Linked DNA regions of Coturnix japonica. The protein of the gene in region 7 interacts with the protein of the main gene of each other region in a pairwise test. Links are inferred from orthologs where the notes say so. Each region holds a gene or a part of one and is shown on either strand. Other genes may lie near its edges. The genes, in order: GRAP2, HEYL, FOXS1, TOLLIP, MGAT5B, C23H1orf94 and RBPMS.

What was found.
Region 1: the proteins of RBPMS (region 7) and GRAP2 interact in a two-hybrid assay, tested with the Homo sapiens proteins (2 studies listed by BioGRID and IntAct). The two-hybrid records come from large-scale screens. The link is inferred for Coturnix japonica from reciprocal best matches to the Homo sapiens genes RBPMS and GRAP2.
Region 2: the proteins of RBPMS (region 7) and HEYL interact in binary tests that used the Homo sapiens proteins (3 or more experiments, as listed by UniProt). The two-hybrid records come from large-scale screens. The link is inferred for Coturnix japonica from reciprocal best matches to the Homo sapiens genes RBPMS and HEYL.
Region 3: the proteins of RBPMS (region 7) and FOXS1 interact in a two-hybrid assay, tested with the Homo sapiens proteins (2 studies listed by BioGRID and IntAct). The link is inferred for Coturnix japonica from reciprocal best matches to the Homo sapiens genes RBPMS and FOXS1.
Region 4: the proteins of RBPMS (region 7) and TOLLIP interact in binary tests that used the Homo sapiens proteins (3 or more experiments, as listed by UniProt). The two-hybrid records come from large-scale screens. The link is inferred for Coturnix japonica from reciprocal best matches to the Homo sapiens genes RBPMS and TOLLIP.
Region 5: the proteins of RBPMS (region 7) and MGAT5B interact in a two-hybrid assay, tested with the Homo sapiens proteins (2 studies listed by BioGRID and IntAct). The two-hybrid records come from large-scale screens. The link is inferred for Coturnix japonica from reciprocal best matches to the Homo sapiens genes RBPMS and MGAT5B.
Region 6: the proteins of RBPMS (region 7) and C23H1orf94 interact in binary tests that used the Homo sapiens proteins (3 or more experiments, as listed by UniProt). The two-hybrid records come from large-scale screens. The link is inferred for Coturnix japonica from reciprocal best matches to the Homo sapiens genes RBPMS and C1orf94.

What each region holds. Positions count from the first base shown.
Region 1 is NC_029516.1:45,896,431-45,900,479, forward strand, and holds the start of GRAP2 (GRB2-related adapter protein 2), read right to left. Parts: upstream 2,801-4,049; 5' UTR 1-2,800. UniProt on the Homo sapiens protein: Interacts with SLP-76 to regulate NF-AT activation. Binds to tyrosine-phosphorylated shc.
Region 2 is NC_029538.1:4,818,278-4,821,302, reverse strand, and holds the end of HEYL (hairy/enhancer-of-split related with YRPW motif-like protein), read left to right. Parts: intron 1-808; coding exon 809-1,449; 3' UTR 1,450-2,525; downstream 2,526-3,025. UniProt on the Homo sapiens protein: Downstream effector of Notch signaling which may be required for cardiovascular development. Transcriptional repressor which binds preferentially to the canonical E box sequence 5'-CACGTG-3'.
Region 3 is NC_029535.1:8,982,401-8,986,055, reverse strand, and holds FOXS1 (forkhead box protein S1), read right to left. Parts: upstream 2,474-3,655; 5' UTR 1,810-2,473; coding exon 571-1,809; 3' UTR 501-570; downstream 1-500. Other genes in the region: interferon regulatory factor 4-like, read right to left, coding at 2,857-2,997, 3,103-3,221, 3,325-3,655. UniProt on the Homo sapiens protein: Transcriptional repressor that suppresses transcription from the FASLG, FOXO3 and FOXO4 promoters. May have a role in the organization of the testicular vasculature.
Region 4 is NC_029520.1:9,904,947-9,908,446, forward strand, and holds part of TOLLIP (toll-interacting protein), read right to left. Parts: intron 316-3,500; coding exon 101-315; 3' UTR 1-100. UniProt on the Homo sapiens protein: Component of the signaling pathway of IL-1 and Toll-like receptors. Inhibits cell activation by microbial products. Recruits IRAK1 to the IL-1 receptor complex. Inhibits IRAK1 phosphorylation and kinase activity.
Region 5 is NC_029533.1:3,615,953-3,619,452, reverse strand, and holds part of MGAT5B (alpha-1,6-mannosylglycoprotein 6-beta-N-acetylglucosaminyltransferase B), read left to right. Parts: intron 1-30; coding exon 31-177; intron 178-928; coding exon 929-1,045; intron 1,046-3,500. UniProt on the Homo sapiens protein: Glycosyltransferase that acts on alpha-linked mannose of N-glycans and O-mannosyl glycans.
Region 6 is NC_029538.1:4,083,030-4,086,361, reverse strand, and holds the end of C23H1orf94 (uncharacterized protein C1orf94 homolog), read left to right. Parts: coding exon 1-87; intron 88-416; coding exon 417-586; intron 587-1,372; coding exon 1,373-1,444; intron 1,445-1,782; coding exon 1,783-1,958; intron 1,959-2,473; coding exon 2,474-2,549; 3' UTR 2,550-2,832; downstream 2,833-3,332.
Region 7 is NC_029519.1:30,663,444-30,667,672, forward strand, and holds the start of RBPMS (RNA-binding protein with multiple splicing), read right to left. Parts: upstream 2,801-4,229; 5' UTR 2,174-2,800; coding exon 1,922-2,173; intron 1,846-1,921; coding exon 1,807-1,845; intron 1,701-1,806; coding exon 1,638-1,700; intron 1,259-1,637; coding exon 1,108-1,258; intron 835-1,107; coding exon 704-834; intron 430-703; coding exon 367-429; 3' UTR 360-366; intron 249-359; exon of another isoform or gene 145-248; intron 1-144.

The DNA.
Region 1 (4,049 bases), on a different chromosome or scaffold from region 7:
TTTGCTCTATGTGTATCAGAGCTGCAAGTATAGCTTAAGCTTGCTGTCTAATTGCCCCTTTTTTATTCCAGGTGCAACTCTATGGATGCAATTCAGACCTGATCTGAAGACTGTCCTCTGTTCTTGCACTGACATTCTTTGCACTCCTGTTTGTAACTTCCCACAGCCATTCTTGCTGATAGAGTGTAAGGGTTTTAAATAGGGGAGGAATTAGCCATTGGGACAACTAGATAAACAATAATACTCTTTCACGGTAGAGAACCAAAGAAAAAAGACCAAGGATAATTACTTTAGTAAGGGATTTATTTCAGTATTTCTTCATATGGTGGTGGGGATCAGAGCCGACAGTGCAAATGAATCCTGGAACTCCTAATGCAGAGCATTAATCTCATCTCGAGGAAAAAACACCCAACAACAAAACACAAAACAAAGCACAACAAACAAACAAACAAACAACAGAAATCAAAGAGAACAAACAAAAAACCTCCAAGCCCCAAACCAGTTCAAAACAATAAATACAAATCCTGTCTTTGATTTTTGCTCCTCAGTCACAGGATAGGCAGCAGGGCTTCTCTCTGCAGGGAGCAGGAAGGGATGGGGAGCCTTTCATTTCTCAGTCTCCCAGGTGCTAAAGATGCCACTGGAGCCGTGACCCTCTCGAGAGAAGTGTTTGTGAAACGGTTAAAATCTCCTCTCTCACCTCATTTTCAATTTCAGCAATCACAACCATGGGGAGAGACCAGGAGACAGATACCTCTTCAAACAATCTAACACATGGATTAAATGTGCTTTTCATTGCCAGCGGCTGGATTTAGAAGCGACTCAAATACCATGCACAGTGTTGGCTGTGTTGATAAATCAGCAATGCTGTGGCCTTAAGCTCTTCCCCCACAAACTACTAAAGAAGCACTAACCCATAATCCTGTCTTTGAATGGCAGCCTACCACTTTTCATCACCTGAACTTCAAACCACCTCTATTTTCTGATCCCAGTCCTCCCTCCATCTGTAACTCGAGGATGTGCAGGTCAGTGCTGGGCCCTCATGAAAAATCTCCTCCAGGGGCCCTTTCTTTTGCTCTCTGAATGTGTGTGACTTTGAGCACTACCCCATGACACACCAAGATGAGAGTTTTTTAGGTAATCATCAGAACTTCCATTTCTCAAGCACCTTTTATCCCAAAGGACAGCACTGCAGTTTGCAGGCAGTCAGATTCTGCTTTTAACTGCCTGGTGCAACTCCTTTAAGCTTTCAAGTAACCAAGGACAATTTTAGACTGTGCATAATGTTCTGAGAGAGAAAAAAAATCACCTTTGTGCAGGGTTTAGCATGAAGCCTCTGCAACTTTTAAAGGAGGATTTGTCAGTTCTGAGTATAGGCTGATGAGTACTTCCATTTTGTGCCGGTTCTCTGCATGGAGGTGAATTTTCTCTGCAGTTCCCCACTGCAACGAGGCAGATCCAATGGGCACAGGGCTACTGCTGTTCCGTGGGACTGATGCTGCAGGAGGTTCATCAAGAGTGAAGAGAAAAGCAGCCCAGCTCTGAGAGCATGAGGTAGGTATTTCAGTTTGGCAGAGTGCCATTCCCTGAGCAAGAACATCAGCCTCTCTGTTGATGAAAAGAGCTGAGGCCTAAATCATGTCAGCAAGCAGCGTAATCTGACAACAGCATCCCAAAGAGTTTCCCCTACACCAAATTGGATTAAAATTCAGTAATAACAATGCCAGGGAAGGTCACCTCCTATGAAGTTTATCACTCTGGGATGGCTCAGGTTCACCCCTACTCAATCTCACATATTAACATCACAGAAGAAAGCACGGTTTCCTACAAAGTGGCTGCTTAAAGCAGCCCTATGAACAGAATGTTGATCTCCCTGCCTGCAGCACAAATACCTCCAGCAGGCAGCTCCATCCAGCAAGGCTTCGTGCTGACAGACACAGTGCGAGCTGCTGCGTCTTTGTTCCGCTCCGCAAGAGCAACCTATCGGACTGATGAGCAACCAGGGACAGGATTCAACCCTGAACATCTGTACAGAAACTCCTGATGACATTTCAGCAGAAACAATGGCGGAGGGACCCGTTATCTAGAAGAGCTGTGATAGATAAAGGCTTTGTTGTCACCAGCTAAGCCACATACAAGTGGCATGGGAATATTTCGTTCCAAAAACACAAGCCTCTTGTTACTGAGTTAATGGCACAGCTCCGCTGACTGTCAGTGATAAGAGAGTAAAATTTATAAGGGAGAACAAGCTACTAAAGTGCTCAGCGCTGTATGTTTCAGTCTTAGCTGTGCTGCCATCCAAAGGAATGCAGGGCTCTGGGCTGAGCCCTTGCACAATGCTCTGACAAAATAAACCTACAAAGAATAGGATCCAGAGAAGGAAAACATTTATAGAGCTCTATGACCAACAGCAGTCAGTAAGAAGTAGCCAGGTGAGGATGGCTCTTGGTCACCCCGGGAAGTCTGGGGCCTCGTACTGCTCCAAGCACACAGAGCAGATCAGGGCAGCACCCTGAGACGCCATGCACAGGCAGCGCTGAAGAGTGCCACAACTCTGAACAGTGTTGTGAGAGCACAACATCATGAATCTCTGCTGGTGCTGAGGACCAGAGGCTGCTTTCCCCAGCCCAGTCTACCCCACCTCCTCCCACAGCTCCCAGCTGGTTGGATGTGGCCAAGATGCAGGGATTTGTCTCTCACAAGCACTGCTCTGGTGTGGAAGCCACCCGACAAGATGACATAGGGATCCCATGCTCTTCCCCTGCCCTGCAGTGCTTTACTTCTCCCTTCAAGATCCCACCTCCCTCCCTAGAGCTTTTCCCACTTAGCTTGGTCCCCCATCTCTCAGAGAAACACTTGCCCCATACCTTTTTTCAGTAGCTCTCCTCTCCTGTGGCACTTTTCTAGAAAGCAGGAGGTGTGTTGCTGTCTAGGGGAAAGGAAGGAAAGGAGAGCTCAGCCCATGCAGGCTCCTCCCTGCAGTGACAGTGCCACGGTGGTAATGGGTCCACGTGTGTGGATGAGGGTGGTCAGGAATTGGCATGGAGGACGGAGGACGGATGCTGAAACAGTGTCCATCACAGGACAGAGTGGGACACAGACCATTTTCAATCTCTAAAGTTGAAGATACTCAGTATGACACGTGCTTTTAATGGTGCTGTCAGTTTGCTGCCACTGCCTCAGCCCATCCTTGTTTAACAGCCAAATAACAGAGGGTACGATCCCTCAAAAAATGTGAGTTCTACCCAACTATAGAAAACAGAAAAGAGCACAGATCTGCAAGTTAAATGAGAAACCATCATAGGTTCGTTGAAAAGCATATCTTGAGGAACAAGGAGCTGAAGACATAAAAACACGTAATAAAATTATTTTCAAAGACAACAGAAGCAGGAAGCCTGCCAGAGCGTCTGTAAGGCTGACAGATGATTGAGATGTAAAAAGGGTGCTCAAAGAAGATAAGGATGAGGCATAAAAGCTGAGTGAATCCTCAGCATCCGTGGGTCTTCCAAAGGGATGTAAGCTGTTTCCCACATTGGGGTTTTCTTTGTGGAGAAAAGCCAGGGAAACTAGAAGTGGTTTTAGGACAAATCAGTATAAGAATGGGAGTAAATCCAGGGATTCGGTATTTTAGAAATCTTGACTGAAAATTAAACGGAGCGTGAAATAGTAAAGGTTGAACAATTGAGCTGTGACATACAATGTAGGACTTAACTCAGTCTCCATATTAGGGCAAAAAGCAGCAAACATGATGCCAACCATTTTAAAAGTGCTTTGAGGGGATGCAAAGAGCAGCAGGTCTAACTTCTGTATGCCTGAAATTAATATGCAGAAACCATAATGAAGAAAAAGATTACCGTGAAGAGAGAAATGACATAGAGGTTGCACCTTGTAGCTTTTGCAGAAGGCAGTCCCACTGCACAAATCTGATGCAGTTCTGTGAAGGAAATGATGAGCATGTGGGTGCAGGTGATCATTTGAGGTAACATACATTCATTTCTAAACTCTTTTTGATGAAGTCTCTTACTGAAGTGTCTTTAAAAGCCTCCCTC
Region 2 (3,025 bases), on a different chromosome or scaffold from region 7:
CTCTGTCCTGTTCCAGTTAACAGGATGGGGATCACAGCTCCAGTAAAGAAGCCTCTGGCTTTGCTTACCACCCACTTTTGGCTTTCTGAGGACAGTGCTGGCATCCAGGCTTTGCTTCAGAGCTGTAACTCGGTCTGGAACATTTGTTTAGATATTCAGTTTGACTGCACTGCAACAAAGGGCTGCATTGTCCCCAGAGACCCCGGCAAGCAGAGTGGTCCAGTGCTCCACTGCTCTGTGACATTCTCTGCTTTGTTGCTGACTGTCTCACCAAGCTACGAGGAGGGAGCAGGAGCTGAAAAATCAGCCATTGTGTTTTATCTTATTGGTTTTCATGTGGCTCTGAGCTTTCCCAGCCCAGTGTCCCCGGTTCAGCCATTCCTTCACTGGGAGGTCAGTGTAAGGGAGGTGTCAAGGGCTGAAGTCACTGGGACTCAGGCAGAGGAACGTGGCACTGTGATGGAGATGCGCTGCCATAGAGAGGATCCCAGCACACCCCCAGCTTTCTGTACATCCCCAGCAGCCAAAACTCACAGAGCCCAAAAGAAAAGCTGCCATCTTCCCTGAGTGCAGTTAATGAACCTTCTCGCTCGTCCCACATGCTAACGGGTTCATGACCTGGCAGTCCTGTCCCACCGAGATACGCAGTGCTGTTGTCACACACATGGACACCCTCTTGGCTGTCTGCTGCAGGGCAAAACACGGCAGCAAAGCGCCTCGAGTGAAACCTATGGCATGGCACAGAGGGTGGGGGGGCCATGTGAGCTCCTGCCCAGTGCACAGCCCGACCATCCCCGTGTCCCCGCAGGGTTCCTGGACGCTCGTGCTCTGGCCGTGGACTACAGGAGCATCGGCTTTCGCGAGTGCCTCACCGAGGTGGTGCGGTACCTGGGCGTCCTGGAGGGACAGAGCAGCGCCGACCCCATCCGCCTGCGGCTCCTCTCCCACCTCAACAACTACGTGGCCGAAATGGAGCCGTCCCCGGCGGCCGCCTCGCTGCTCCCGGTGCAGACGTGGCCGTGGTCCTTCCTGCACAGCCCGCTGCCGGTGCCTCGCCGGGAAGCAGCTCCCGCTCCTCTCCTTGTGACTGCGTCCTATCCACGTCTCACCGCCAGGCCGGCCCCGCTGCGCCGCGTCCCCGCCGACGTGCTGCCGTCACAGCGGGGCCCCCTGCCCGGCAGGATGGCTTCATCCACCCGCAGGGCTCGAGCTGCCCCCTCGGCTTCCACCGCGGCGGCCGCACCTCGGCTGCCATCTCCATCGGGGGCACCGAGGGGCGGCTCAGCCAAGGGCAGCCCCATCTCCGCTCTGCTCTTCTCTCCCGCTGGTGTCCCTCTGCCTGCAGCCTACGCTGCGCCCGCAGCGCTGGGAGCTGCGCAGGGACCCGCGCTCAGGGTGGGGGCAGCCCGGCTGTGCCGCTCCTGGGCCACTGAGATCGGCGCCTTCTGAGCCCCCAGCGCCCCCTGCCCATGGGCTGCAGAGCGGAGCCAGACAACCGGGCGCCCCTCCTGTTTGCGGAAGCCAAGGACCCATCCAGAAGATCCTCTTTGCTGTCCCCCCACCCCGCTCCTCACGCTGCCTTCCTCACTTCACCGTCGCTCATCCTTTGCAGTGCCCACAAGTGTCAGCTCCATCTGCTTCCATGCGTTCTCTGGGATGGGGGGCACTGCAGACCCCGGCCCTCTGGCAGAGCCCAGTACCGTTCTTTGCTGCCTTATCTCCTTGGGGACTTGGAGCTCATGGATGGACTCACTCGGGCTGTGTTCCCCAACTGCAGCACCCAATTCCAGGGTCCTGGGATGGGTCTTGCTGCTCCCAGCACTGCTCTTCCTTGATGCAGCCCAACTCATCCCACTCACAGCAGAGCACTGTTGGGCTCCAACAGCCCTCAGCCCACAGCCAGGTGAGAGGAGGTGAGACACCGGATTTCAAAGGACCCTGCGTGGAGGGGGTGACTCTGACACCGACGTGAGAAGAGCAGCCCTTCACTCTGCCCATCACCCTGCAGGAGCCGTCTCACCTCTTTCCCCCATTGAGAGCACAGCGTTTCAGACCAGCATTCCAAGTGCCTCCCCGTTTTCTCTTGGCCTTTCTCCTCCCGCATGTTTTCTCTCTCCAGCACCGTGTCATGGTCTCGTGTTTCTCACCCCTGGTTCTGGACCAAAACCCATGGCTGCTGCACTGCTGTGTGTCCACAGATGCTGGGCTGCGTTCCTGCAGAGCACGTGATGTGTGCAGCCCTGCTGCTTGGAGAGAGAGTCTTCCTGGTTGTTCTGGTGAATGCCGCTGCACTTAGTGTACAGAAATGCCTCTGCTGCTCCTCCTCACCCCCGGTCCCCAGTGCCAGAAGCAGCCAGGAACACTTTCCTTCGCTGTAAAGCCAGAGGAGGCCGTGGCCCCGGCTGTCCTGTGCTGCTCAGTGTGCCAGAGCGGCAGCAAACAGCCCAGCCTCCCTCTGTTAGAGTCACAGCTGTGACATCCAGCAAAGGTGGTAAATAAAGTCTTTCCAGCCCCTGTTGGTGTGAGATGCAGTGTTGGTGTGCAGCTGTTCTGCCAGTCTGGATGCTGGGATGACTGCTGGCGTTGCAGCACATGAGCTTTGTTGAGGTGTAGTGTAAGGGAACATCCCCAGCAGGAACGCTGCTTGTGGTGGCTGCTCCCGTGACTTCTTACTTTGCAAACCACTGCATGAGCTGAGATCAGCAGGGATCTCATGGCTCTCACCCTGAGGTTGGCAATAATCCATGGCTTGAGCACAGCTCGTTTCATTTAGCTCCCAGCATCCACAGAAATGCCTTGGGACGCGCTGAGACCAGTCCAGCCAGACTGCGGGGCTGCCCTGTGTCTGCTGACCCTCTGTGAGCAGAACCAGAGTCACCTCTCGGCTCCGGGCTGTGGGAAGAGCTGAGAGCAGCCCCTGTTCAGCGGGGAGGATCCTCAGCGATCCCGGCCGTGAAAGAGGCTGCGAGAATTTCCCGGGGAACGGTGAAAATTCAACTTCCTTTCCCATAACTCGTTCTCGCTC
Region 3 (3,655 bases), on a different chromosome or scaffold from region 7:
CAGCTGTAGCCATGCCTGCAGGCAGCCCTGGCACAGCCCAGCTCTGTAGGGTGCTGTGAGGACCTGGCAAGGAGATGGTCCCATACAGGGAGAGCCCCATCTCCCCATACACCCCATCCCATGGAGCTCTCCCCCACTGGCTCTCTCTGTGGGTGCTGAGGCCAGCACCACTCATACCATACACAGCGCATGGGGCAAACCAGGCATGTGTGAGCAGTGCAGGGTTTGCTCCAGGGTGCAGCACATCCCCCAGCCCCTTATAGAGAGGGTTCCCTCCTGTCAATCCAGGTAGAAGCTGCATCAGGAAGGGGCTCCATCCCCATCACATCTGGGGATGCCAGACCACCCAGCCCATGGGCACCAGAAGGGGGGTCTGCATGGAGGAGAGCCACAGTGGGCGGCCACAGAGACATGTCCCAGCAGCAATCTGGGTGGGAACGGAGTGGCCTCGATGCCCCCTGCCTGCTCCCCACCCCCAGCGGGTCGCAGAGACACAGAGGCAGCATGAACAAACGTGCTTTATTCTACAGTACCTGCATGGTACCAGGGCGGGGGGGAGATGTCAGTCCATCACTCAAAGAAGAACATTCCGGGCGTCCGGTAGAGGCAGTGGGGCAGCCCCAGGGGGTAACCACCACCTCCCTGCAGCGGGATCGTCCCCCCTGTGCTCCACGGCTCCTTCTGCTCTCCCACCCCAAAGGGGGGCTGGCGAGGGGCCGGGGGGGTGGCGGTGGCAGCAGTGGGGGCTGCAGCCAGGAGATGCTCCAGCGCTGCACCGCACGGCCGCTCGTTCACACAGAAGCTCAGCGCCTGCACCCGGCACTGGTAGCTGCCCCCCAGTGCCTCGGGCCCCCCACGGCCAAAGGAGCCAAACACGGGCAGGGGGGGCTGCTTGTAGCCATCACCGTCGAGGAAGCAAGACGGGGGGGGCTTGCCCGTGCCCAGCAGGGTGCTGGGGAAAACGGGGGGCACCTGCCCAAAGGGTTGGCCCAGCCCCATGGTGGGGGTCGCCGGCTCTTTGCCCTCCACATCACCCGGGGGGGATGCAGTGGGGTCCGGGGAGCGCTGCGCGGGGTGGCCGGGCTCTGTGGGCAGTGGGTACTGACCTGGCCGGGGCAGCGGCAGCGCAGCCGGGGGTCCCCCGAAGGCAGTCTGCTTGGGATGGGGGGGGGCGGGCGGGCGGCTCTCCAACGGGACCCCGAGTGGCTCCTTGGTGAAGAATGGCACTTTGGGCCGCGGGTGAGCACAGAGCTGCCCAGCACAGCCCGGCACCCCAATACCCTCTGCCCTCTGTTCTGCTGTCGGTGATGCAAAGCCGCTCTCCGCTTTCCCCTCCTCTGGCAGCGCTGCCCGTGAGCGGGTCCTGGGGGTCTTCCTGCGTCCCTCATCCCCCTCTCCATCCTGCAGGGCCCTTTTCCTGGTGAAGCGGCGGCGGCGCCGGAGGAAGCTGCCGTTCTCAAACATGTTGTAGCAGTCGGGATCCAGCGTCCAGTAGCTGCCCTTGCCCGGCTTCTTGTCGTCGCGGGGCACTTTGACGAAGCACTCGTTGAGCGACAGGTTGTGGCGGATGGAGTTCTGCCAGCCCTGCTTGTTGTCGCGGTAGAAGGTGAAGCGGCCCATGATGTAGCGGTAGATGCCGCTGAGGGTGATGCGCTTCTCGGGAGTGCTCTGGATGGCCATGGTGATGAGGGCGATGTAGCTGTAGGGCGGCTTGGTGGCCTCGGCAGGCGGCGAGGGGCCGGGATAGGGGCTGTCCGGGGCCGTGCGGCCGCGCAGAGCTGCGGAGCCGACCGGGAGCTCCGGCTGCATCCTGCCGTCCTCACTCTGCTTGCCCGGCTCCGGCCGAGCCCATTAAAACGCCCCAACGGTGTGGGGGCGGTGGGCCCCTCCTCTACGGTGCCGTAGGGCCGCCCAGGGCGGAGCGGGGCCCCATCGTCCAGTGCTGGTCCCTGCGGCCGGACGCGCAGTCGGGGCCGGCCCCGGGGCTGGGAGCCAGCGGGCTCGGGTTGGCACCGCTGTGGGGTTGTGATGGGTACGGGAGGTGAACGGGGCACAGGGCTCATCCCGCCCGCTCGCAGCACCCAGCCCCGGGTGGTGCTGATGTGGAGTGCAGCAATGGTGTGGGGTGAGAGGATGCAGTGTGGGGATGGGGCTTCACGGGTAACCCCATCCCTGGAGTGGTTTTGTATCCCCGCACCGTGCCGTGTCCCTGCTCTGCGCCATGTCCCCACCCTGACCCAGGTCCCCGTGCACACACTGAGCCCAGTTACCTGGGCACGTCAGCGCTGCTCTGCAGCACGACCCCAGCCCCGCCGGGAGCCCCCTCACCCACCACTGGGGGAAACCGAGCCATGGGCAGCAAGTGCTTTTGGGACGTGGTGCCCGGTTGTGAGGGCACCTCGCTGCTGCACACAGCCCTGCATAAGCGCTGGGAAGCAGAGGGCAGGATGGGGCTGAGGGCAGCAGGAGCTGCGTGGCTCCAAGCAGAGCGCTCAGCTCCTGATGTCCCTGCAGTTCTTGGCTCTGCCTCACTCAGCTCCCCCGCAGCCTGCACGGCAGCACAGCCCCAGCCCCGATGCCGCAGCCGGCAGTACCGAAACACAACCTTTATTTCTACAGCTCACAGACAGCAAATCCCCACAGCGCGAGGCACCAGGACAGAGCTGGCTGTCCCCTGCTGGGCACAGCTGCACCCAGCAGCCTCCGCTGGGCTCCTGGGGAATAAATACAGCGCTCCGTGCAGTGCCCCACTCCGGCCAGCATCCATCCGCATCCATCCCTGCTGAACGTGGCTTTATGGGTTTGCCACTGGGCGGCCGTGTGTCCCCAGGCTTCGTGTCCCCTCGGCTGCCCGGCTCAGGGCTGGCAGAGCTGCTGCAGGACGTGTGCGATGCGCCCGGGGGCAGTGGGTGCACAGGGCTGGGGGCAGCCCCGCAGCAGAGCAGGACCCAGGCGCTGGGCGTGGTGGAAGAGCTCTCGTGCAAACACCGGCTCCACCTGCAGGGCACGGAGCTGCTGGGAGGATGGGGTCCGTGCCTGGCACTGAGGGTCCCCATCGCCCCATTGATGGGCACAAGGATCAGCAGCCCTGTGTGTACTCACGTGGGCCATGATGAGCTTCTGGAGGTGGTGGCCGGTGCTGGTGGGGTACTCCTCACCGAAGCACAGGTGGATTTGGTACCGTGGTGCTGGCTGCCCGTGGCTCAGGTACCTGCGCAGCTCTGCAACACCGCACAGGGATGGGACACCCTGTATCCCCATAGCTGTCCCCCAGCAGATGGGTCCCGTGATGGGGATGGGACCCTGGGGCTGACAGGCACTTACCCTCCAGGAACTGCTGTGTGTCCAGCAGCTTGTAGGTCTTCTCCCGCTCCAGCTTGTTGGGCCAGTCCCGGTGTGGGGCCAGCGGCCCATTCCAATACACCCTGCCCTGGCACTGCCGCTTCATGAAGACCCCTTCGGGGGCCACCCACAGCAGCACCCCGCGCTCCAGGTGGGGCAGCAGCCTCTCCAGGACCTCGGTGACAGCGACTGTCCACCCGCTGCTTCCCAGTGCACGTGGTGAGGGGAACTCGATCAGCTCCATGCGGGAGGGGCCGTAGGGACCCTCAGTGCGCGTGGCGATGCGGCAGCCCTCGGCCGTGCGGGTGGTGAG
Region 4 (3,500 bases), on a different chromosome or scaffold from region 7:
CTAACAGCAAACTGTTAGGAAATTCTTCCTCTAGCTAAATCCCTGGCTTGGCAAGTAAAAATAAGTGGCATTGAGGAAAAGCACAATGCAGGAAGTGATTCTAGGATTCTTCAGTCATCTGAAGCAAGGAGTTGATAGCTGCGTTCTTGTTCCCCCTCTGAGCTTCTAGCACTGAGCGGATTACTTCTCTGTCCATGTTGGGAAACATGTCCTGGATAGATTTCAGGTCCTCTTCATTACACAGGTGCTGAGGATTGACTGCAGGAGGTGGTATTGCCACAGGTACCATGTCAGGATTACAGACTGCAGGCATTCCTGCATGCAGGAGAAATAAAAAAAACACACACAAGGGAAAAATAAATGACTGCGAAGAAGGAAGTGGTCCATCCCTTACCACCAATCCACCTGCTTCAGAGATTGCAAAGACCATTGCAGTCAAAAGCACTTTCCTAGAACTGGTCCTCTGCCCAAGCTACATTACAGAAGCCGTAAGCAATATAACAATAGGTACAGCTCAGAATTAAGATACAACCTATATCAACCAGGCTTACACATGATTAAGTCATCAGATACTAAGTGTATTTTAAGCCCTATTGCATTTATATTGCGATAAGCTGCTTTTTAAACCAGCAATATATATATCCAATAAGTAGACATTAAAAAATAAATGTTATCTTCATCACATTAAAAGGAAATCCATGAAAGGACTCAACCACATACACAAATGAGTGTCGAGCAAATGGTCCTCCTTGTTTCAAGCTCCTTCCAGTTCCACCTGCAAAGCCCCAGAGCAGCAAAAGTACAATTCCCCTTAAGCCCACAAGAGTACATGAGACTTCTTCAAGTACCTCCAAGTGACAACATCAGAGATGCCATCCGAACTTGCAGACGTAGGATCAGGAAAGCCAAGGTGCAGGCAGAACTGAACTTGGCGAGGGATGAGAAAAACAGTAAGACTTTCTACAGGTACATTGGCCAGAAGAGACAGGCCAAAATGGGTGTACCTTCTTTGGTAAATTTAAGAGGACTGGCTTCAACAGATGAAGAGAAAGCTGAGGTACTGAATGAGTTCTTTGCCTCGGTCTTCACTGGTGGCCAGGATTCTAGTATTCCTCACATCCCTGAGCCCTGCATCCCCAACCCTCTATGAGGAGACCAGGGAGGTAAATCCCTCCCCACTGTGAAGGCTGAGCAAGTCCGAGAGTGCCTCTTGAGACTGAATGAGTACAAGTCTATGGGGCCGGATGGTGTGCATCCCAGGGTCCTGAAGGAGCTGGCTGAGGTGGTTGCTGAGCTGCTCTCCATCATATTTGAGAAGTCGTGGCTGTCAGGTGAGGTCCCAGATGACTGGAGGAAGGGTCACGTCACTCCCATATACAAGAAGGGGAGCAGGGAGGACCCAGGGAACTACAGGCCGGTGAGTCTCACCTCTGTGCCCAGGAAGATCACGGAACAGATCCTCCTTGACTACATGCTTGATCACATGAGGAATAAGTGTGTGACCCAAGACAGCCAGCACAGTTTCACCAAGGGAAGGTCATGCTTAACCAAACTTGTGGCCATCTATGATGGAGTGACGGTGTTGGTTGACAAAGGTAATGCGACCGATGTCATTTACCTGGACTTGAGCAAGGCCTTTGACATGGTGCCCCACCACATCCTCATCTCCAAATTGGAGGGATGTGGATTTGATGGGTGGACCACTCAATGGATATGAAATTGGTTGAAAGGCCGCAGACAGAGGTGGTGGTCAATGGCTCCATGTCCAGGTGGAGGCCAGTAACAAGTAGGTGCAAGACACCTACAGTTCCTGAAGTATGAGCTGCTCCTACAGAACCACTGTTTGTTTATGCTTACTAACTTGTACAATCATTCCAGCCTTCAAAATGATGTATTAAAATTCATACTAATAGTTGGATCAACAAATCCCACCTTAACTTACATCAAACTTTAGTTGACAGTGCCCTCTAATTGAATACAGTTTGATTGTGCACCACAGCTGTTGTTTTACTTCACATATTCTTTGCTGTTTCTTCCTTCAATCTGGACTTCAGTCCTATTCAGTTTCATGCAGAAGTCCACTACTGATTGTAAGCGTCTTGGACATGCTAATCAGTCTTCTCTGATTTTAAAACTCTCCTTGTAATCTTCTTCAGCTTTATTAGAAGCAAAAAAGGAACCGAGGCCGCATCTATTTAAAAAGGTTCACACTGGCACCTAAATAAAAGCCTCTTCTCAACATAACTTTGTTACCCACACACTCAAACTATTTCTTCCCAGCCATACTACCTCACAAGGACACCTGCAGTCCCCTCCACAACAGCCTGAACTTGGGCTCTACAGCTTCTTAAGCCATTTGAATCACGTTCCCTCAGATTGTGCTTAGCACTATCAGATTCTTTGACCATCTGGCACATTAGATTATGGTCGTACCCCAGAAGTAAACCACAAAGTGGTCCTAAAACAACACTGCAAATACAGCTCCCTGCACAAAATACAAACAAATACAACTACATCCAGCAGCATTTCAGATTGCCTTTTAAGTGAAGTTTCCTAACTTAATAAAGTCAGTCACCAACACCATAAGACTATCCAGCTATCAGCTTAGGCTATTCAAGATCTGTATGTAAAAAAGACTAGTTTTAAACATTAAGACAAATGAAATATCAAGTACACTTCTGAAGTGTCACAGCATCCTATAGCTTGCCATTAAGTTTGTCTTTGAAAAGAAAATAATAAAGGTGACAATTTCCCTACTGCTTACATCAAAACAATGTAAATATGTGGCCAGATATCTGCACATGCAACATTAAGTACTTCCAGTCTAAATATCTGATTTTAGAGATGAGGTATTTCTTGCCAGTATTGTTCTCCCCACATTCAGACTACACCAATGGAAGTTAGTATCAGTGATATTTCATAAGCACTTTAGAATACATGCTTCTTTTTCATGGAAGTCAACATAGCCAATTTCAATAGTACATTATTCTTGACTTCGTTGTTGTCCCCGCCCCAGACTAAAAGCATCTATTATTTCTGATTCACAAAATAGTAAGCAAGACTTAAGCATAAACTTAAACACTATGTAAGTTAACATAAACATATATGGTATGTATGACATACGTATGAATAACACGGTTATCAGAGTAGCTGTAATAAACCTCTGCTTTTTCTTTGTTCAGTAAAAAGCTGCTTTACATGTTAAGCAGCTTGTTTCACTAACAGGTGAAAACTGAAACATCCTCTAAGTATAATGGTATGCTCCTTCGTTGCTTTCAGTTAAGAGGTGTTACACATCAGAAGAACAGAGCACTGTTTTCTAATTCAATGAAATGGCAATGGCAAACATGCTGGCATTAGCAATGGCATTCCAGTAAGTGAAGCAAGTACAACAGCAGTCCATCGCTAAAAGCAGCAAGGAAGCACCAACAAAGCCTTCAGAGTGTAAATATTACCCAGCTGCACACAAGGCATTACACACTTATTTTACTGTTCAGTCA
Region 5 (3,500 bases), on a different chromosome or scaffold from region 7:
ACATCACCAACCTGGGTTTGCTCCCCACAGCTCTTCATCGGCTTTGGGTTCCCCTACGAGGGTCCGGCCCCACTGGAAGCCATCGCCAACGGCTGTGTGTTCCTGCAGGCGCGCTTCAACCCTCCCCACAGCTCCCTCAACCATGAGTTCTTCCGTGGGAAGCCCACCTCCAGAGAGGCAAGTGCTCAGTGGTGGGAAAAAGCACCTGACTGAGATCTTCGGAGAGATCCAAATCCCAAAATGTGAATGTATCATCCCAACATGCATCTGTTGGATGGAAGGGGCTGTGGGTTGTAGAGGAGAGTGATGCAGGGGGATGCTCATAGACCCCACCCTCAGAATCCATTGCCCGTTTCCTTCCCACTGTGCTGATCCATTCACATCCCTCCCAGAATAAGGGCTGGTGTCCTGCTGGCAGCCTGATCCCCCTCAGCCCATTGTATTTTTGTAAAATGAGGAGGATATGGGGAGTATGACATCCCTCCCAGGCTTGCCCATTGCTGGGAATTCAATCTAAGTGAAGCAGGAACTCTTTAAAAGTTAAAGGGTTGAGAAAATTGCTTCTTTTATTATTAATGAAGTGGATAATGCGGCACAGTGCTCACTCCCTCAGCTCGGCTGGGCTGTGTCACACTGTCCCCAATGGCTCCCAGTGTTCTGGAGTGCCCTGGGGTGTTCATGTGGAGGATGGGAGGAGGTGGTCACTGCTACAAATGAGAATGGAAAGCAAGCAAGAAGCACACATGGCTCTTCTTCTAGCAGGCTCTCCTGCTATGCAATGCCTTCCAAGACAGCTCAGCATCCTCTCTCCTCCTGCCCCTACCCAGGCCCCCAGGGCTCTAGCTGCCTTTTAGCAGAGTGAGGCTGGAAAAGCAGCATTTGGTGCTACCAACAACTGCAAACCAACAGCTCCTGTGCTGTGCTATAGGTGTCCTCCCAGCACCCGTACGCCGAGGACTTCATCGGGAAGCCACACGTGTGGACTGTCGACTACAATAACTCCGAGGAGTTTGAAGCTGCTATCAAAACAATTCTGAGGACCCAGGTGAGAAGGGCTCCCCAAAATGAGCCTGTGTGCCAAGGTGAGAACAGCTCTCATCTGCTCTTTGTTGCCCTTGGGATGAGCTGTACCCTCACTGTGACAGCGTTTTGGGGTGGGTGCATCACCATGCAGCTGTGAGGTGAGGTCAGTGTGGATGAGGTCATGTCGGCGCCTCGCCACGATCTCTGCTGTTAAAAAAGGAAAGGTAAGAAATAAAAAGGGGGTTGTGAGGAAGTTGTGCTGCAGGCTGATCAGCTCCATCTCCAGATTTCTCCCCGTTCCCACGTCAGCTGCTCATAGAAATGCAGTTGTGGTGCAGTCACAACACATCCTTCCTCCCTTCCTTAATTAACATCTCCTACGTCGCTGAGAGGAAGGAGGGGAGGAGAGTGTGGATGAGGCAGCAGCACAGAGAATGTGGCACCAGCCTGGGGGTGCTCGGCTGTGGGGTTTTCTGGGCATTTTGCTTTGTGGTGTGGCACCTATGCTGGAAATATGGCTTCATGGTCTATTGAATGATGTCTCCATGGAGCAGGGAAGTCCCACAGACCCCTTGTTTTGGACGATCCCCATTGCCTTGTTGCTGCTGGCCATGCCCCTTTAGGGGCTGTCAGGGTGTGCAAGCCTAAATTCACCCCAAATGAATACAACCCAGAGCAGTGTGCTGTAACAGCTCTGCAGGGAGAAGTTCCCATACACCGAGAGGCACAATAAGATAAGCCCACCAATCCCCTCTGCTCTTTGCTCTTTTAAATGTGATCTGTATATTTACCATCTGCAAGCAGAGCAGGGAACGAGCAGAGCAAGAGTCAGCAACGGCCTGTTTGTCTGTTTTTAACATATCTGTGTTAGAGATGCTGTCAATGCAATTAAGACTAACAGTTGACCAACCTCCCAGCTTTAAAAGCCCCACTATTAGCTTTGGGAATCCCTCGGTATCTTGTCTTTAAACTACTGCTGGTTACAGCAGGAAATGAGAACAGCTGATGGGTGGTGAGAACGGGCAGCTCAGTGCTCAGCCAGGTGGGAGGAACTGCTTTCTGCCTCCTTCTTTCCTATAGCAAAACAGGGCGTTGTGTTTTCAGACTGTTTGGCAAATCTCTCCTTCAGAATAATCACCATCCATTTATTTCTTTCGCTCCAAACGTTGCATTTCACCATTACTGAAATGAAATAAGGTGTTTTTGTTTCCCATCTGTGTGTCTTTGTTTGGAAATGACCTGCTAGGGAAACTTGTATCTGAAATGATGCATTTCCCTTTGCCTCACCAAACCAAACAGATTGTCTGACCTGAAACAAAGCATTTTTCTCCTTGCTGGGAAATATTGGGAATTAAAAACTGACCTGAAACTGGTTTTACTCTTTTCCTTTCTATTCTTCCTCTTTGATTTCCCCTTCCTTTTGCCCTTTTCATTTTCCTCTCCCCTCCCCTTTTCCCTTCCTCCCCCCCTTTTTCTTTCTTTTTCCTTTTTCTCTTTTCCTTTTTCCCATTTCCTCTCCCCTCCCCCCTTTTCCTCTCCCTTTGTCCCCTTTTCCTTTCCCCCCTTCATTAAGAAGTCACTAACCACACACCTTTGGCTTTGCACCTTCAAGGCAAATCTCAGCTGAGCACTTTCAGGAGGGTGAGATGCCACCCCCTGCTGTTGTACCAGCAATGAATTGCAGCTCGCTGCCATAGCCTGGGCTGAGAGGGGCAGAGAGGTTTCGAGGCACAAGGATTTCTCAGCCTTCAGCTCTTTCCATTTGTCCCAGCACAAGCCATTTAACAGACCCAATATTCTGGTGTAGCGAAGGGAGAAGGCATCATTATATTAAAGTCAAACATACAGGAATATAATGGAAAATTATACATTTCAGCCTATGCTTGAAAGAGTGGCGTATTAAACATCGCAGCGAAAATAGCTGGTTTGAGTGCTCCCAGCCTGCTGCCGGGGGGCAGCTGACAATTGCATTATTTTGCTGCTCATTACTTAGGGATTATGTTTTTCTTCCTTTTCCTTTGCAACAAGGGAAGCAGTTCTGGGATACCCAATGGGGTCTGTAAAAGAAACAAACCCAAAGCACCTTTGTGCTTTGCATTGCATCCCCACCGATGCATGCAAGGGAGGGTTGCAAAATCCCTTTTCAAGAACAAGGGCAGAGCATCACCCCGTGCAAAGCCCCCCCAGCACTGCTGTTGTGAGTGCAGGGGTGTGAGGCTGAGTGCTGCAACCCCAAACCTGCAAGACCTGGCTCTGGTTAACTGAGCAGCATCAATGCCTGTCATGGTGTCAGCACCAATTACACGGCACACCTGTAATGAGACAGAGCAGCTGCGATTTCCAGCCTTGCTGAGATCTCAGGTGGGATATTTATGGTGGAGAGATGCTTAGAGGGATCTTGTTGGCAGGCTGAGCCTTTGGAGCTTGGCTCTGACAGGTACTTCAAAGGAGACAGCTATTTTGGAGGTGCAGAAAAT
Region 6 (3,332 bases), on a different chromosome or scaffold from region 7:
CAGGACAGAAGCAGCAGCTCCCAACACTTGCCAAGATTTGCTCCAGACCTGACTCCAATGCAGCCACAAAGGCACTGCAGAATCCAGGTATGGATCAGGACACAGTTTCTTCTGTGCTAATTTCCTGGTCTCAGATAGTTTTGTTCTTACAGAGCTCAAAACAAGAATCTTTTGCCCCATTCCAGTCATTCTTACAGCTCAGGAGATTAACTTCATTCCAGGTCCTGTGGGTTGGGGTTTAATGGCCTTACATGTGAATCTGATCTGCTCATTTCTAAGCATGGGTCTCCAGAAATACAGCCTGCAAAAGCATCTTAAACACTTTGCTCACAGGGAGTGCATCCCCTTAGCTGCAAGTGCTTCATGGTTTAATGAAGGGAATGCTTAATTATCTTCACCCTTGTTTTGTTTTACAGTAACTACTGCAGCACTGGATAAAAAAATAGTTATATACAATGCCAGCACTTCCAATCCACACTTTCCCGTTACTACAACCACCACAAACTTAAACCAGCCAATGTGGCCGAGTCTGAGCTTCCCTCCACTTCCTCTATATCCAAACCAGCCAAACTACCCACCCTTTCAGGTAAGATTGAATAAACCCACATTTTAGAACATTTCCAGGCCCATACTGACAAGCTCAGGGCAGCAACTACCTCTGCTATGAGAACTGCTTTCTGATTTGTAGGGTAGAGCCTAAAAGAAACCAGGCTGCTGTCCTACAATGACTGATCACACTGGTTCGCCATCAGTGTTAACATCCAATGTAATGCAGTCCTCTGAGATGTTAGTGATCAAAGGATGATGTTCTATTGACATATACTGAATGCTGACCTCTCTTGGCATTCATTAGTTTCCATGTTTATGTTGCATTTACAAATATTTATCCTGTATTACAAATATTTTGAGCTAATAATTCATTAAGGATATTTCACTCGGTGGCTCTGTTTGCACAACAGGATGCTGCTTGCTTTCTTTGCCTGGCGAAACAGGACCTCAAATCAAAGTGAAAAAGCCATCTAAGGTTATTAAGATGGCAAATGCTTAAGTCAAAAGGAATGAAAGAATGGGAATTGTACATACCTATGGTTTACAGCCCCAGAATTTCCCCTGAAGCCCACGGTTCAACAGAGACCTACTGAGCACAGGACAAGTGCAGTCCTTCCACCCCCAGCATTCAGCCAGGATTTGGGCTTCTCTGCCTGGTCTTAGGGAAATAAAGGGAAGACTTCCCCAAATCTAAGAAGTTAATTTACCTCAACCTGGTTTCTCTGAACACAGCTTTACACTAAAAAAATTCATGCAAAAGAAATAATAATTAACAGAGCAACTCAAACTGTTTTAAAAGTCATGCTTCACATTCGCTTAACAGGGTCCATACCAGCGAGCAAGGATCCCTTTCCAGCAACCTCTGCACCCTTCCTATGGATGCTATACAAGACAGGTGCGTTCAAACAGCTACGAATGTGCTTCAGTTTGCAGAGCACAGATGCTAAGCACAATGGATTAGTCAGTACTGTTTGTCCTATACCAAGACTGACATTGATGCCATGACTAAAACAGATCTGGGGACAAGATGCAGAGCTGGACTAAGTTAATTTAGTTCTTTGGAGCAGTATGTATTGCAGGATAGCTCATTAGATGGCCCTGAGCCTTTAACTGAAGGGATCTATTACATATGCTCAAGTTTTGTACCAAATAATTTGTCTGTCTTCTCCATTCGGACTGCACATCATTAGACTCACCCCATTCCCATGTGGTTTCTTTCTCTCTCCTCCCCAGGGGGCTCCATACAGCCCACAGATGTACCGGTCACCCTACACTCCTATGCTGAATTACATCCCCCTTGTCCAGCCTGGCTTCCCACACCAGAGGGCCCCAGCTCAGCTGCCCACCAGCATCCAGGATCTGCCAGCAGCACGTGATGGGATGCGGTTCACATTTCCTCCTCCTTATGGGTACGACAACGCAGATCTTCTTTCTAGCTTCATTACCATCCCTTACTGTACACCTTCATAGAACTCACAGCCTAATCACAAACTGGGTTCCCCAGCTCCATTCTCACCCAGTGCCAAGTCAGAACACAATATGGAGTATATACCCAATAGAAACTTCTCAAATAGGTTTGATACAGGAACAAAGTAATTTGTTTTAAGCTAACAAAGCTGCTGTAGGATAAGATCACACCTACAACTTTCCAGTCCTCATGGATAAAGCATGAACTTTTTGTTAGCAGAAAGGAGATGCTACAGCACGATAGAAACCAAAACATTTTGACACAGAACATCATGAAAAGATTCACCTCCATAAGCTTCTATAATAACCAATGATCCAACACTTAAAGGACTGACAGCAATAGCTCAAACTTCCCCCTAAACCCCCTTTCCAGAAGCCATATTGTGTCTTTTAAACAAGTTATTTGGGGATTAATGCAATCTCCTGAAGCCAGACTGAATGTTACTTCTTGTTTTAGGTTTGCTGCTGTGCCTGGAGGAGCCGTGAGGCCAACACACCATTACCCCCCCAATGCGAACTGCGTCAACTTTTAAGAGAACCAGTTCTCCTATTGCAATAGCACCAGATTTTTATGTATATATCAGGATTCCTAGGATCCCATAAGAACTTTGTGTTTCCCCAGAGAGAAGATTTCTATCTTGAATATAAGTCCACGTGACTTACATGTTAAGAAACAGCTGCGTGACAAATCAGAAGTAATTTATTGTTGTTGATTTTTTTTAGGATGACAGAAAAAGGGGCTTTTTCCCTTTTGGAAGACAAAGACGTAATAAAAATGTTTTATTTATGACAGATGCCTGAACACTTAAAATTCAATGTTGGTGCAATAAAGACTTTTTTTTTCCCCAAACAGAAGTTCTGGCCACAAATTCCAGCTACGGTAGTTGTAAGGTGTGCATTCAAAGTAAGGGGAGCACAGATGCAGTCATCCCATCCTATTACTTCAACCCTAATGCTGAACCACACGTTAACCTGACTGGTAGCGCTAAAGATGGCCAAGCTATAACGTCTGTATGAAGAATCCTCTTTAAATGTATTTCGTTGGTTATTTAATTCAACTTCAAGGCTCTGATTTTGTCCCTTGCAGATCCTTTAGGGAACTGCAAACTAGCCAGGATGTACAAAGAAGTTCCCTCCTGCAAGGAATGGGGCCATAGGATCGTTATAGGATCAGGGGTCTGACCACAGCTGGAGCCCTAGTCAATAACACCAGCACACTCAGGCAGGATCACTGTTTCTTTAGCAAAGAATCAAAGGCATTAATGAAGATACTTATCAATGTTTCCTTCCTTAGCCATTACTCAACACTGTGAGCC
Region 7 (4,229 bases):
AGAGGAGTGTGACCAGTGTTGCTATAGGGCAGGAAGCTGTATGGCAGAGAGGGGGTGGGGTGACAGGGCAGTTGGAACTCCCACCCCCGCTGTGGATGATTAAGCATGGGGGGACAGCCTGTGCCCGAGCACTGCGCTCCTTACCAGCACACTGTGGTTCTGCAGAGAGCGTGCGTGCCCAGCAGCCGCCGGGGGGCTCTGTTCATACCCACAAGACTGACCGTCGGCCGCCATCACACACCCGAGACCTGTGGGTGGCATGGCAGGGCTCAGGGATGGGGCTGGCACGTCCCCCTTCCTACCCAAGTTTTGGCTGGCACCGCAGGTGTGCTACACGGAGGACACCGGGGGGCACTTACACAGCATTCAGCAGAACTGACGGGACTTCCAGCCCTGAGACCCAGCCTCGGAGGGAGGGAGCCAGCGCATCTGCAAGACATGGGGGCAGGGGGTGAGCAGGAAGGAAAACTGCAGCAAAGGGTAGTGCAGCCATACCCTGGGGCTGCGGTGGCTGCAGTGCTGATTCCTCCAGGAGGAGCACAGGTGCTGCCTGTCAGCGCTGCCTTGACAGGGGAAGTATGAGGCTGCAATAATATTTACCATTGCTCTTCCTCTGGGCAGCTGGCCCCAGAGCTCCCCTCCTTTCCCTCCCTCTTGCTCTGCCTGTCAGAAAGGCTGCAGTGCTGTGAGCCAGTGCCATTACCTGGGCATGCAGCGAAGCAGGGTATGTGAACGCAGGAGGAGGTAGAGCAGGCGTCAGCTCCGCTGGGTACAGAGGGTACGGCCCCCACACTTCAGGGCTGCCGGGGTAAAGTGCAGGCACTGTGAGCTCATCTGCAGGAAAAGGAGGAAAATTAATCCTAAAAGCAAGGGGAAAGTGGACAGCAGGTATAAGCTTTGCACTTCTGCCCAGGCCACCGTCACCTGCCCTTGCGTCATCCCAAGCACAAGCAGCTGGTTTCCAAACCCAACCACAGTTGCCGTGCCTCTCCAAAAGCTTCCCTGCACCCAGCTCCTAAGGTATCACTGCCCCAACTGCTTCAGTAAGAAAGGGGCATTGCCAGGGCCATATACTGGGCGGACCAGGGTCAGGATGCAAGCACTCACAGGGCTCCCTGGCGATGAACTGAGGTACAGTGTTGGGGAGGGGCGTGCTGGGGTTGGGAGTGCCCATCAGCTTGCTCTTGGCCATCTTGGTGTTGGCTTTAGCAAACTCTAACCGCAAGGTCTGGGGGATCTCAGGGTCGAAGCGGATGCCCTGTGGAAAGGAACAGGGCAGCAGAGGTCAGTTAGGCTGAATCTTGTGGTAGGGTGCTGCCCCCCATTCAAGAAGGCCATTTGGGCTAAAACAGCCTCGGATTTTGTCCCAATATCCCCACGGGCTGCTGGGGTGGCCGTGACCTCATGTGCTTGGCAGCGAGCATGGCCCCGTGGCTCACATTCCTCTGACATCCTCGAGCTCAGCACCATATTTGGTAGTCGGTATCCCGTGCAGCCACGCTCCCAGCAAGGGATTAGCGGCGTTTTGCCTCAATGCAAGGATGGGGAGGAACCGGGCTTCCCCAGGAGGTCTCCACGGGGTAATAGATACTGGGATCCATCTCTTTTGGTGTTCCCTAGGGGGTCCCAGCACTCACGTTCAGTGCATTCTTGGCGGCCTCAGCTTCTGAGCGGCTGTCGAAGCTCACGAACCCCACGGGCTGCGGAGAGAGGAGGCGAAGGGCGGTCAGGGCCAAGACCCCACCACATCCCCAGCAGTTGGTGAGGGCAGCCCCCAGGCAGGTGGGGGCACGGTGCAGCCCATACCTGCTTGGAGGTGAGCTTGATAAGTGACCCCTCATAGCCCTGCGGGAGAGAAGAGAAGCACCATTGGTTTCATTTGGCCTCAGAGGCCCTCAGAGCCCCATAGCGGGTGCAGTACCTTGAAGGGCCTGAAGAGCAGGTAGAGCTCGCGGGGCTTGATGTCCAGGGGCAGGCCGCTGACAAACAGGGTCCTCACCTGCAGGGGCAGAGCGTCAGCTGGTTGTGGGCCTGCAGGAGGCTCCCCAGGGCCTCCAGGCCACGCTCCTGCACACAGCTCTGTGCTCACGGCCTCAAGGAAGTGCCCGCTGTGAGCTGTGTTCCTGAAAGCTAAACCCGCCCGAGCCTGACTTTCCGGGTAATTTAGCCCCATGGCTGCGCAGCAGATAAGAGAGATAAAGGCCCTGAAAAAAAACCCTCCGAAATTAGGCCTCACAGAGATGCGGCTTCTCCTCGGTAATGACTTGTTTTCTTTGAAAGTTCAAACGCAGGTCGGCCAAGTCGGGCCAGTGCTGCGGTGCTCAGTGAGCAGGGAGAGAAGCGCAGATTACAGCAGGAGCTTGAAGGGGGGTGGTGGGGGAAATCCCATTTAGGCTTTTCCCCCCTGCCCAAAACCAGAGACAAGCAGAGGCTGGGGAAGGAGCTGCGATGCGGTCTCCCCAGCAAGGAGCCGTGGGGAAAGGCTGCCCCTGCTCTGCCACGGAGCGGGGCAGCTCCCTGACAGAGGCTGTGGCTCTGGAGCCTTCCCCGGGCCCTGCAGATGCTGTCAGTGCAGGCCGGGGTGGGCAGTGGCAGAATCCCCTCTGTGGGGGCTGGGGACCCCTCCCGGAGGGATCCTTCCACGCCAGTGGGCTGACACCCCCCATGGCAGCCCCACCACCCTGCCGCGCTCAGCCTTTCTCCCCGGCTCGCCTTCACCCCTCACCATCCCTCGTCACAGCCCGGGACTGTCACCAGGCGAGGGTGGTGAATGTGCTCCGGAGCCACCCCGTGCCCACCCCACCGCACCCCTCTGTTTCTGCTGCTGCCCACGGACAGACCGGGGCGCAGCCTCGTGCCTGCTCCGTCCCCTTCGCGCTGTCCCCGCCCGGCAGGTTTTCTCCTCGCCCCGGGGACATTCGGGGAGACCTGGCGGGCCTCGCTCCGCCCGAGAGCGGCCCGGAGGCGGCTCGGCACAGCAGCGGCGGCCGCGGGCGGTGCGACGGGCACCGGGTCAGCGCCGTGGCCCCTCGGCTGCCCCAAGGACGCGGTCACGCTCCGCCGCCCCAGCGCCGAGCTCCGCCGGTCAGCTCGGGCAGGAAGGGACCGTCGGGAGGAGCGCGGTGACTCATTCCCCAGGCATCCGATCACCTTCCCCGGGCTCGCTTTAATGTTCCACCAGCGGTGAGCCGCTCGGCTGCCCCCGCCCCGACCCCCGCCCGCGGCGTGACCGCGACCCGTCCTCGTGCCCGCGCACTCGGGGTGAGGGCGCGGCGGCCGGGCAGCGGCGGCACCGACCTCGCGCTGTGCCGGGAGCGGTGCCGCCGAGAGCCGAGCGGGGCCGCCGTCCCGGCTCCCGTCCCCGGCCAGGCTCTGTGCGCGGCCGCCGTGCCGCCCGACGGGACCTTGTGCCGCCGCCTCCGCTCCGGGGGACGAGGCGCCGTGCCCGCACCCCGCGTGAGTCCAAGCGCCCCGCGTCCCACAGCCCTTGTGCCGAGGCGCACCCGGCTCCGGGCCGCTCCGCCTCCCCCCCCACCAACTTCCATAGCTTCCCGCCGCGCCCCGAGCCCCACGCCCAGGCTGACGGGACCCCGCGGACACGCGTGGGGGCCGCACCGCTCCCGCCCCGGGACCCGGCCCGCCCTCGGCGGCTCCCCCTCCCCCGCCCGGCCCGCTACCTCCTCTTCGGGCAGGCCCGGCTCGGCGGGGCCCTCCCGCTCGGCGGCGCCGCTGCTCATGGTGCCGCCGCCGCTCCGCCACCCGCCCGCGGCTGCCTCCGGCGCGGCCCTGCGGCGGGCGGGAGGGAGCGGGGCCGGGCGGGGCGGGGCCGGGCGGGCGGCCACACGGCGCTGGGGGAGGGACGTGGGGACACGGGGTGGGACGGGGCCGGGGACGGGAGCGGGGGTGGGACGCGGAGCTGGGGCGACGGGACGCGGGGTGGGGATGGAGGACAAAGGGCTGCGGTCTGGGACGTGAGGTTCGGTGCGTGGCACGTACGGCTGGGGACGAGGACGTTGGAGTTGGGACGTGGGACGCGAGGTTGGGTACGTAGCACGCGGGGCTGGGGACAGCGATGGGGACGCGGGCCGTAAGGCTGGGAGCACGGTGTGAGCACATGGCACACGGGATGCGGGACAGAACGTGGAACAAGAGGTGTGACACAGCTGGGAACACAGGGCCGGAAGGCGTGACAACGGCTGGTGTGGGGAAGCCAGTGGGACACAGGCGGC